2 linked regions of the Caenorhabditis elegans genome follow. The protein of the gene in region 1 interacts with the protein of each later gene in a pairwise test. Each region holds a gene or a part of one and is shown on either strand. Other genes may lie near its edges.

Region 1 (3,793 bases):
TTTTTGCAAAGCTTTTGGCGCCAGTTGAACAATTTTATTGTTTAAAGATTCGTGATTGGTTCTCGAAGCGAAAAGGAAGAGACAAGCGGTTCTTGGAGAATATGGAGAATACTCGTGAAGTTTCTCCGCAAAATACGCAGCAAAATATTCAAGATATTTTGATTAAAATTGTGACTCAAAGTGGGACGCTTTGTTCAACGGACTGTTAATAATTCGAAATGCTTTTCTTTTAATAAAGTAGTTCTTTGTAGTTTCTAGTGTTTTCTGATAATTTGGACAGAGATGAATCTATAATTAGGTTGTTCATGTAGTTTCGTGATATGAGCTCTTAGAATTTAAAAAAATATTGAGATTACTGTAGCATCTCTTCGCAAAAAAACATAAAACTAATCTATGAATGTCTTCGGACAAATTTTTGGTTTCCCTGCACAGTTCAGAATTTGAAATTACATAAACTTCACAGGGCACCAGTATTTAACAACCACTATGATCGAGATCGTGGCGAGACCTATTCAGGAAATCAGCGTGTACCTTTAAACTGACGTGTGAAATTTTTGCAAAATTATGATATTTAAAAAGGAAATTATCCAAAGCAATCCAATAAATATATTCCTATGGAAATACTGCGAATATTTATCATAGTATTTTTTGGATTCTCTTTCTGCATATCCAAACAAAACATTCTGTGAACAATTTTAGTTTGAATACAAAAATATGATGGATCCATTTTAATCCTATAAAGTGCATATTTCAAGGCTTTTTATGTTTCTGACAAGCCTGAAAGTTTCTACAGAAAATGAAATTTAGAAGAGGAAAGTGCGCTCCAGCGTCATGCACCAGAGATGAGAGACGCGGGACAACGAGACGGATTTTGTTTGTTCGGTTTCTTTTTACGAGACTGATTGTACTTTTTTCTCTTGATTGTCTCACTTTTGTTAAATTATATCAGTTAATGGATATCAATGTGCGTGCGATGTTTTACTTTTGATTTTTGCGAAATTTTATAAATTTCCCTCACAAAATATTGGTTCTTTTCAGAAAAATGCCACTGTCCAAGAGACGAGCGGCAGGTAGAATCAATGGACTGAAAGGCCCACCCGCAAAAAAAAGAAAGGAAATTGAACGACATGAAGCTCTTCTCATGCATCCGTTAGCGTTAGTTTTATTTAGATATTTTTGCGAAAAATTGAACGAATTTACAGGTATACTGCAGAACAGTACGAACAAGTTGCAGAGGAGTCGAAGTTCTACAAAAATTGCTTCGAAACTACTGCCGCCGAGAACGTTGAACTTCTAAAATCCAACGATCAACTCAAAAAAGAGCTGGAATTGTTGAAAAACCAACAAGGAAATCAGTTGAAGGTCGATATGAAGTTCAAATCCCAAATCGAGAGCACCAGGCAATCAAATATGACGTTGCTTCGTGAAAGAGAAATTTGGCAAAATCGGTATTATGATGTTCTCGCTGAGAAGCTTGCGCTAAGTGCACGAGTGAAAAGTATGATGGGCGACATAGTAGAATCCGTAGAAGTGCCTAATGATTCAAATGGTAACACGTGGGAACTGCGAGAAGATTTGGAAATTGATAGAAGTGCTCGTAGAAAAACGGAAGAAGAACCGAAAGCTCAAAAAATGAATTCAACTCGTGGATCTCTGCCGAGAAATCAATGCTCCACACGCTCGAACAACCAAACACCCAATGAGATGCTCCTGAAAATGGCGATAGGATTGGATACGACGTCGGTTAATTAAGGTAATTTTGTATTTTACAAGAACGATTGAAAATTTTTATTGTTTTTTTTTCAGAATTCCTCAATCGACACTCAACACATTCCATCTCAACTTTATGAATCTCAGCACTCAAAAATCTGCTTCGTTTAATTTCTGTTTTGAGCGTTTTTGAAACGTTACTGCATTTATTTTATTAGAATAAACCAATAAATAGACAAAGTATTTTCGAAAAGCTTTTTTTTTTTTTGTAATTGTTGACATTTTCAAAATAATATTATTTAATCCAAATATCTCAACGATTATTAATTTTTTTAAATTCCTGTTAAGACTTTCCATCATAGTTTTTTTTTTCCAGAAGCATGCCACCCCCTAATAAAAGACAAAAACATGCAAGAATCTGTGGATTTATGGGTACACTTGCTAGAAAAAAGAAAGAAATCGAACAACAGGAAGCTCTGATGAAACTGCACAATCTTCCATTGACGTTAGTTTTACACGGAAGCAATTCAGAACAATATAAATTATTTACAGATACACTGAAGACCAGTACAAGATCGTTAAAGAGGAGTCGACGATCTACAAAAACCGATTTGAAACAGCTGCTGCTAAAAATGTCGAGCTTTTAAAAGCCACTGATGAACTCAAAAAAGAGCTGGAATTTTTAAAGAGACAACCAGGAAACCAGTTTAAAGTTGATAAAAAGTTGAAATCCGAAATTGACAGCGCTGAAGAGGAGTCGAAGTTCTACAAAAATTGTTTCGAGACTACTGCTGCTGAAAATGTTGAACTTTTAAAAGTCACCGACCAACTCAAGAAGGAGCTGGAATTCTTGAAAGCACAACAAGGAAATCAGTTTAAAGTTGATATGAAGATCAAATCCGAAATGGAGAGCGCTACACAATCTAATTTGATTCTGCTACGAGAAAAAGAAATGTGGAAAGATCGATTTAATGATGTGCTCTCTGAAAAGCTTGCTCTAAGTGCACGAATTAGAAATGTGATCGGCGACAGATCGGAATCCGTGGAAGTACCCAACGATTCAAATAGAGACATTTGGGAATTGCGAGAAGATTTGGAAATGGAGAGAAGTGCACGTAGAAAGGCTGAAGAAGAGCTGAAAATTCTAAAAATGACTTCAAGTCGTGGATCTATGCATATCAGCCGAGACTCCACCAACCAAACACCCAATGAAATTCTTCTGAGCATGGCGATCAGATTAGATTCGACGTCCAGTAATTAAGGTAACTTTGTAGTTTCACCTTGAGCATTTAAAATTGACATTTTTTCAAGGTTCCCTCCAACTCAGGCCAAGCCGTGTCATCTTCATGAATCTCATCACACAATCAATCATGTGTTTCGTTGCATTTATGTTTTGAACGTTTTTAGAACGTTTCTGTTGTTGAAATAAAATAAAATATTAATTATCGACTCTGAACAGTTGGCAAAAGCGCCCCAATGATCTATGAGGCCACATGATATAGAGTGAAGAGACGCAGCTATTGAAGAGAGTGTGTGTGCACGTTCGATAATTTTCTGTCAGTTTCTCCGTCTTTTGGAATGTGTTTTTTAGTAGCTTAAATTTCAAATTATGGTAAATTTACAAGATCTTGTCACACCTTCTTAAAGGCGCATGGATTTATTCAGATGGGTCTCGACGCGCAAAATGTTTATGGTAGACTTTTTTTGGATTTTTACGGCTGCTTCCGACTTGAAAACAGAAAAATGAAAAGGAAACGATAAAATTCGCTAAAAACTTATTAATTGAATTGAATTGAATTGAATGCATGAAAAATAAACGAAACAGTACTTAGTCAAAGTAAAAAAATTATACAATAAACTTTTTTCGCGCCAAGACCCATGATATGTTACCATAGTCAAACATAGCAAATAAGTTGAGTTCACGTCTATGTTGGTACCATCGGGATCACCGTGGCTTACGCCAAAACTAATGCTTCTTGTGTTTTTTATCACCACACAACTATTCGGTCACAATTATGAATTTGTTTTCTTCAGAAGAATGCCAAGACGGTCTGTTGCCATGCGTAAACGCATTGAAAACCTC
Region 2 (3,928 bases), on another chromosome or scaffold:
TTTTCATTTTTCAAAAAAATTTTTTTTTAATTTTCTTTGTTTTTTTCTGCAAAAATCGTTATTTCTCTTTGATTTTTTGCGGGAAATTTGTGATTTTTAATGGTTTCACAGATGTTTTATCGAAATATCAACTAAACATAGTCTCGCGACCCTATAAATCATGGCCACCCCACCTTTTCTCAACGTTTCCTTTATTTTCGCCGCGAAATTCTCCGATTTTACTTCTCCCTCCCCGATGTATGGTCCATCTGGAACACGATCTTCGTCCGATCGTCGTCTCGGTTCCAATTTTTTCGCTTTGTTCACACTAATTTTAGAATTTTTCGAATTTTTCCCGGGAATTTTCACATGCCGGCGCGATTCTTGAATAGAAGATGAGTCAGAACATGACTTTTCTGAAAGAAATTGTGACGCCACGTGTTTATTTTCTCCTGTTTTTCCCATATTTTCCCAAAAATAAAAGCTCACTCTTTTTCTCCTCACTGATAAGGGTGTTCACTTCTCGGTGTTCAAGTAATAAGGCCAGTTGTTGGTCTTCATATGCTCTGAAATTTATTTCTCACGATTTTCAGTGTATAAATAATTTTATTTTCTACCTCGCAATTTCCACATCTGTAACCGTATCCAAAAATTTTTGATTTTCTCTCAGTTTTTCGTTTATTTCATGCCTTCGCTGCCTTAATTTTGTTAAGTCTCCTCCATGTGGAATAGATTCAGAAGTCGTTGTAGTTGGCGTCTGAAATTATTTTTGGAATTTATCGATCGAAATTTGAACAATTGAGATACAATATTCTCGCTGACAGTGCTTTCTCGTGTAGTAAAGCAATAATTTCTATAAACAAAAAAATTAACATACGTTATCATAAAGTAGCTCATTAATAGTGGCTGAAACATCTCCATCATATTTCCGTAGAACATATTCAATATGTGAATTGCTTAGACTGGGAAACATAGCTTGAAAGTCCAGCATTGCCTGAATATTTTGAAAATTTGTTGCCAAATTTGATTCTAGACGTACTCTATCAAAATCCAATAGTTCTTCTTCTACCACACCAGATCGGTCTTCATAGTCATCATAATCCGTCATTATTTCGTTAGAAAAAGCTGAAAAATAGTGTTGAAAATGAAATGAGTCAGCATTATGAAGAAGAACGCTCGTACAAATATTAAACATTTTGGGTGGGCGGTCAAAAAGAATGAGACAGTGTTGTGTGTGTACAATGGTGATTGTATTATCGGTCTGCGGTGAGAGAGTTATGAAAAAATACAGGGAAAATAGGCAGAATTTGGAGTGAAATTGCTAGTAAACTCGGAGTTTTTTTTTTGAAAAACTGCAAGTTAGAGTCTCTAAAGTTCGGAAAAAAGCTTTCTCTGACATCATAAATGATTTTTGCTCTTTTTTACTTCAACATAGTGATTTGGGAAACCATACAAAAGATAAATGGCTTCAAAACAGGAACAATATTATGCATTTTCTGACGAAGCTAATTAATTGACGAGGAGAAACTCATAGACTTTTTATTCATAAAAACAACTTTCGAATAGATTTTCTGCATTTTCTGTTTTTACATAGTTGGCCAGTTTTACTTTTACTGCGGGAAAAGTTCTATACGATTTTTTTTCCTTTATTTAGTGTATCCATTGAGCTAGAAAATACGAAAATTTGCCTTATGTCCCGAATATATCTGTAAAAAAAAACAGTGTTTAATTTTTCAATGATTTATTCAATTTCGCTGAAATATAAATACAAAATCGGCGGAAGGGAATTTGAATTTTTGCACTTTCTGGCAAAATTCATGGATTTTTATAATTTCACTTTTCATACATTTTTAAACAAAAAATGAAATAATAGTTAAATAATCGAATTTTGAACTGATTTTAAAGTTTCCGAAATTTTATTTCAGGTCGTCAAGTTTTCTTCACAAAAAAATCAAAAAAAAAATCATGGAGCCGTTTCTTTTATTTTTGCAAAATTGAAAAAAATCATTAAAAATTCAGAAAAAGAAATCTATAGTTTTTTTTAACAGTTAAATTTGGTAAATTGAGGGAATTTTCAAAAAAAGTTCCTTTGCAATATCAGAAATTTCTTTTCCGACGAAATATTTCACACTCTCAAATATTTTTATCCGTTGCCAGAACTTCTTCTTCATAAAACTAATAATTCTTTAATTTCAGAACCACGAAACATGATGCCAACGTGGATACCTAACAATTTGTGCGCACAGCCGACAACGAGAAATGCTAAACCACCATCGAACGGGCATCCACAAGCGACACAACAACAATCTGCTCCGGGATCATTGGCATACCGTAATTCGAGCAACATACCGAATGGAGCAACCAACCACGTCAGACAACAGAAATGGCAGTACACTCGTTCAGGACATAGAAAGGTACGAATGATAAGAAAATATGAAAAAAAAAGTTGGAGAAAAATAAACAAAAACAAGCATTTTTAGAAGCTGAAAAATATTAAAATGCTCTTTGGTCAGTTGGAAAATTTGAAATTTTTGCATTGAATTTCTACATTGAATTTAAATTAGAAAGTAAAAATACATTAAAAAATTAAGTCATTCAATTTAATTGCAAAATTCACAAAACGTTTTCAAAAAAGTGCACAATGTTCAAATAATCAGAACATAGCACGTAATCGGGTTGATTTGCCCATTGTGCTCCCATTATCGGGAAAATAAGTTGCGTATTGCATCAAAACCACTAACTTTGTACTTTTATTAGCCTATTAAGACTACCGTGACAGAGTACTGTGTGTGTGTGCTGGAAGAAAAGATTAGTGATGTGACGTTGATTGGTAGTTTTTGAATTGGAAAAGAGAGAAACGGAAGTGTGAAAGTTTGAATAGCTCAATGAAAATGGTTGATTTGAATGAAAAAATTCAAATTTTAAACCAGAAATTGTGCTTTGTGTTTTAAGCTTGAAGGTTTGATGATTTTTGCAGATTGACACTTCATTGACGTATTTAGTTTATACCGGAACACCTCTTAGAATCGTAGTTTTTCAACGAAATTTGAATTTCTGCTAGTAGAAAAAAACTGTTCACAACTTGAACATTTCGTATGTATCCCAAAATGCGATACCCGGTCTCGAAACGACACATTTTTTGGTAAATGCAAATAAGTGTGCGCCTTTAAAGAGTACTGTAATTTTAAACTTTGCTGTGTAATTTTCATCAAAATTTTTCGATAAAATTTTTTTTAACCTCAAATTAAAAAAAAGGTTTTTTTTTAATTATGAGAAAAACTATTTAAAAAATCGAAACTGGGTACCGTATTTTTTGGCGTAAAAATCCTAAAATTTCGCTACTGGGTAATAGTTGTATTTTCGAGGTTCCACTACAAATTACCGTAATCTGAGTGTCCCCCAAATTGAATATATTTGCATTCTTCTAAAGTTTCCAGTTAAGACATCTAAAATCTAATAGAATTAATTGAATTGGTCGTCTGATTGACATTCCAGCGTGCAAGCGGAGATTGGAGAGAAAAACAATGTTTTTTTTTCAAACCGAAAATCAGAACTTTTAAACGAACAAGGAAAAATCGAAAAGGAGTGTTCAAATACAAGAATCCATCTTCCGGAAGTTTTCTTCGTGCGTTTGGCCTAGATGACCCAGATTTTTCCTTTTTTCCGGACTTGAGCTACAGTTTACTGTACTTTGACACGTATTCCTTTGGGAACCCCGAGGATTTACACTAATAATTGATGTTGATCTATCTTCTACCCGCTTTCCATCAACAAACTATTATTTTGAAATCCCGTTGTGTACCCGGGTGAATGACTGACAGAGGTGTGAGGTACTTTGTGTATTATTTATGTTTCTCAAAATGAATGTAGATTGATTCATTGTAGTTTCACAGTATCGAAATTGAATTTTTCCGGAGTTAAAGTGTTCAGTAGTAGTTTTCAGAAACTA

What was found.
Region 2: the proteins of C49C3.7 (region 1) and mpk-1 interact in a two-hybrid assay, tested with the Caenorhabditis elegans proteins (3 studies listed by BioGRID).

Annotation. Positions count from the first base shown.
Region 1 is NC_003282.8:17,330,489-17,334,281, forward strand, and holds C49C3.7 (Coiled-coil domain-containing protein 176), read left to right. Parts: upstream 1-2,072; 5' UTR 2,073-2,090; coding exon 2,091-2,215; intron 2,216-2,262; coding exon 2,263-2,971; 3' UTR 2,972-2,972; intron 2,973-3,021; 3' UTR 3,022-3,158; downstream 3,159-3,793. Other genes in the region: ceh-88 (Homeobox domain-containing protein), read left to right, coding at 48-209; C49C3.6 (uncharacterized protein), read left to right, coding at 1,043-1,155, 1,203-1,752; C49C3.15 (DUF4515 domain-containing protein), read left to right, coding at 3,749-3,793.
Region 2 is NC_003281.10:4,226,356-4,230,283, reverse strand, and holds the start of mpk-1 (Mitogen-activated protein kinase mpk-1), read left to right. Parts: upstream 1-2,189; coding exon 2,190-2,393; intron 2,394-3,928. Other genes in the region: F43C1.5 (uncharacterized protein), read right to left, coding at 174-395, 469-545, 597-736, 857-973, 1,019-1,087. UniProt on the Caenorhabditis elegans protein: Functions in let-60 Ras signaling pathway; acts downstream of lin-45 raf kinase, but before the lin-1 gene product in controlling vulval cell differentiation. Plays a negative role in proximal germline proliferation in the mitotic zone.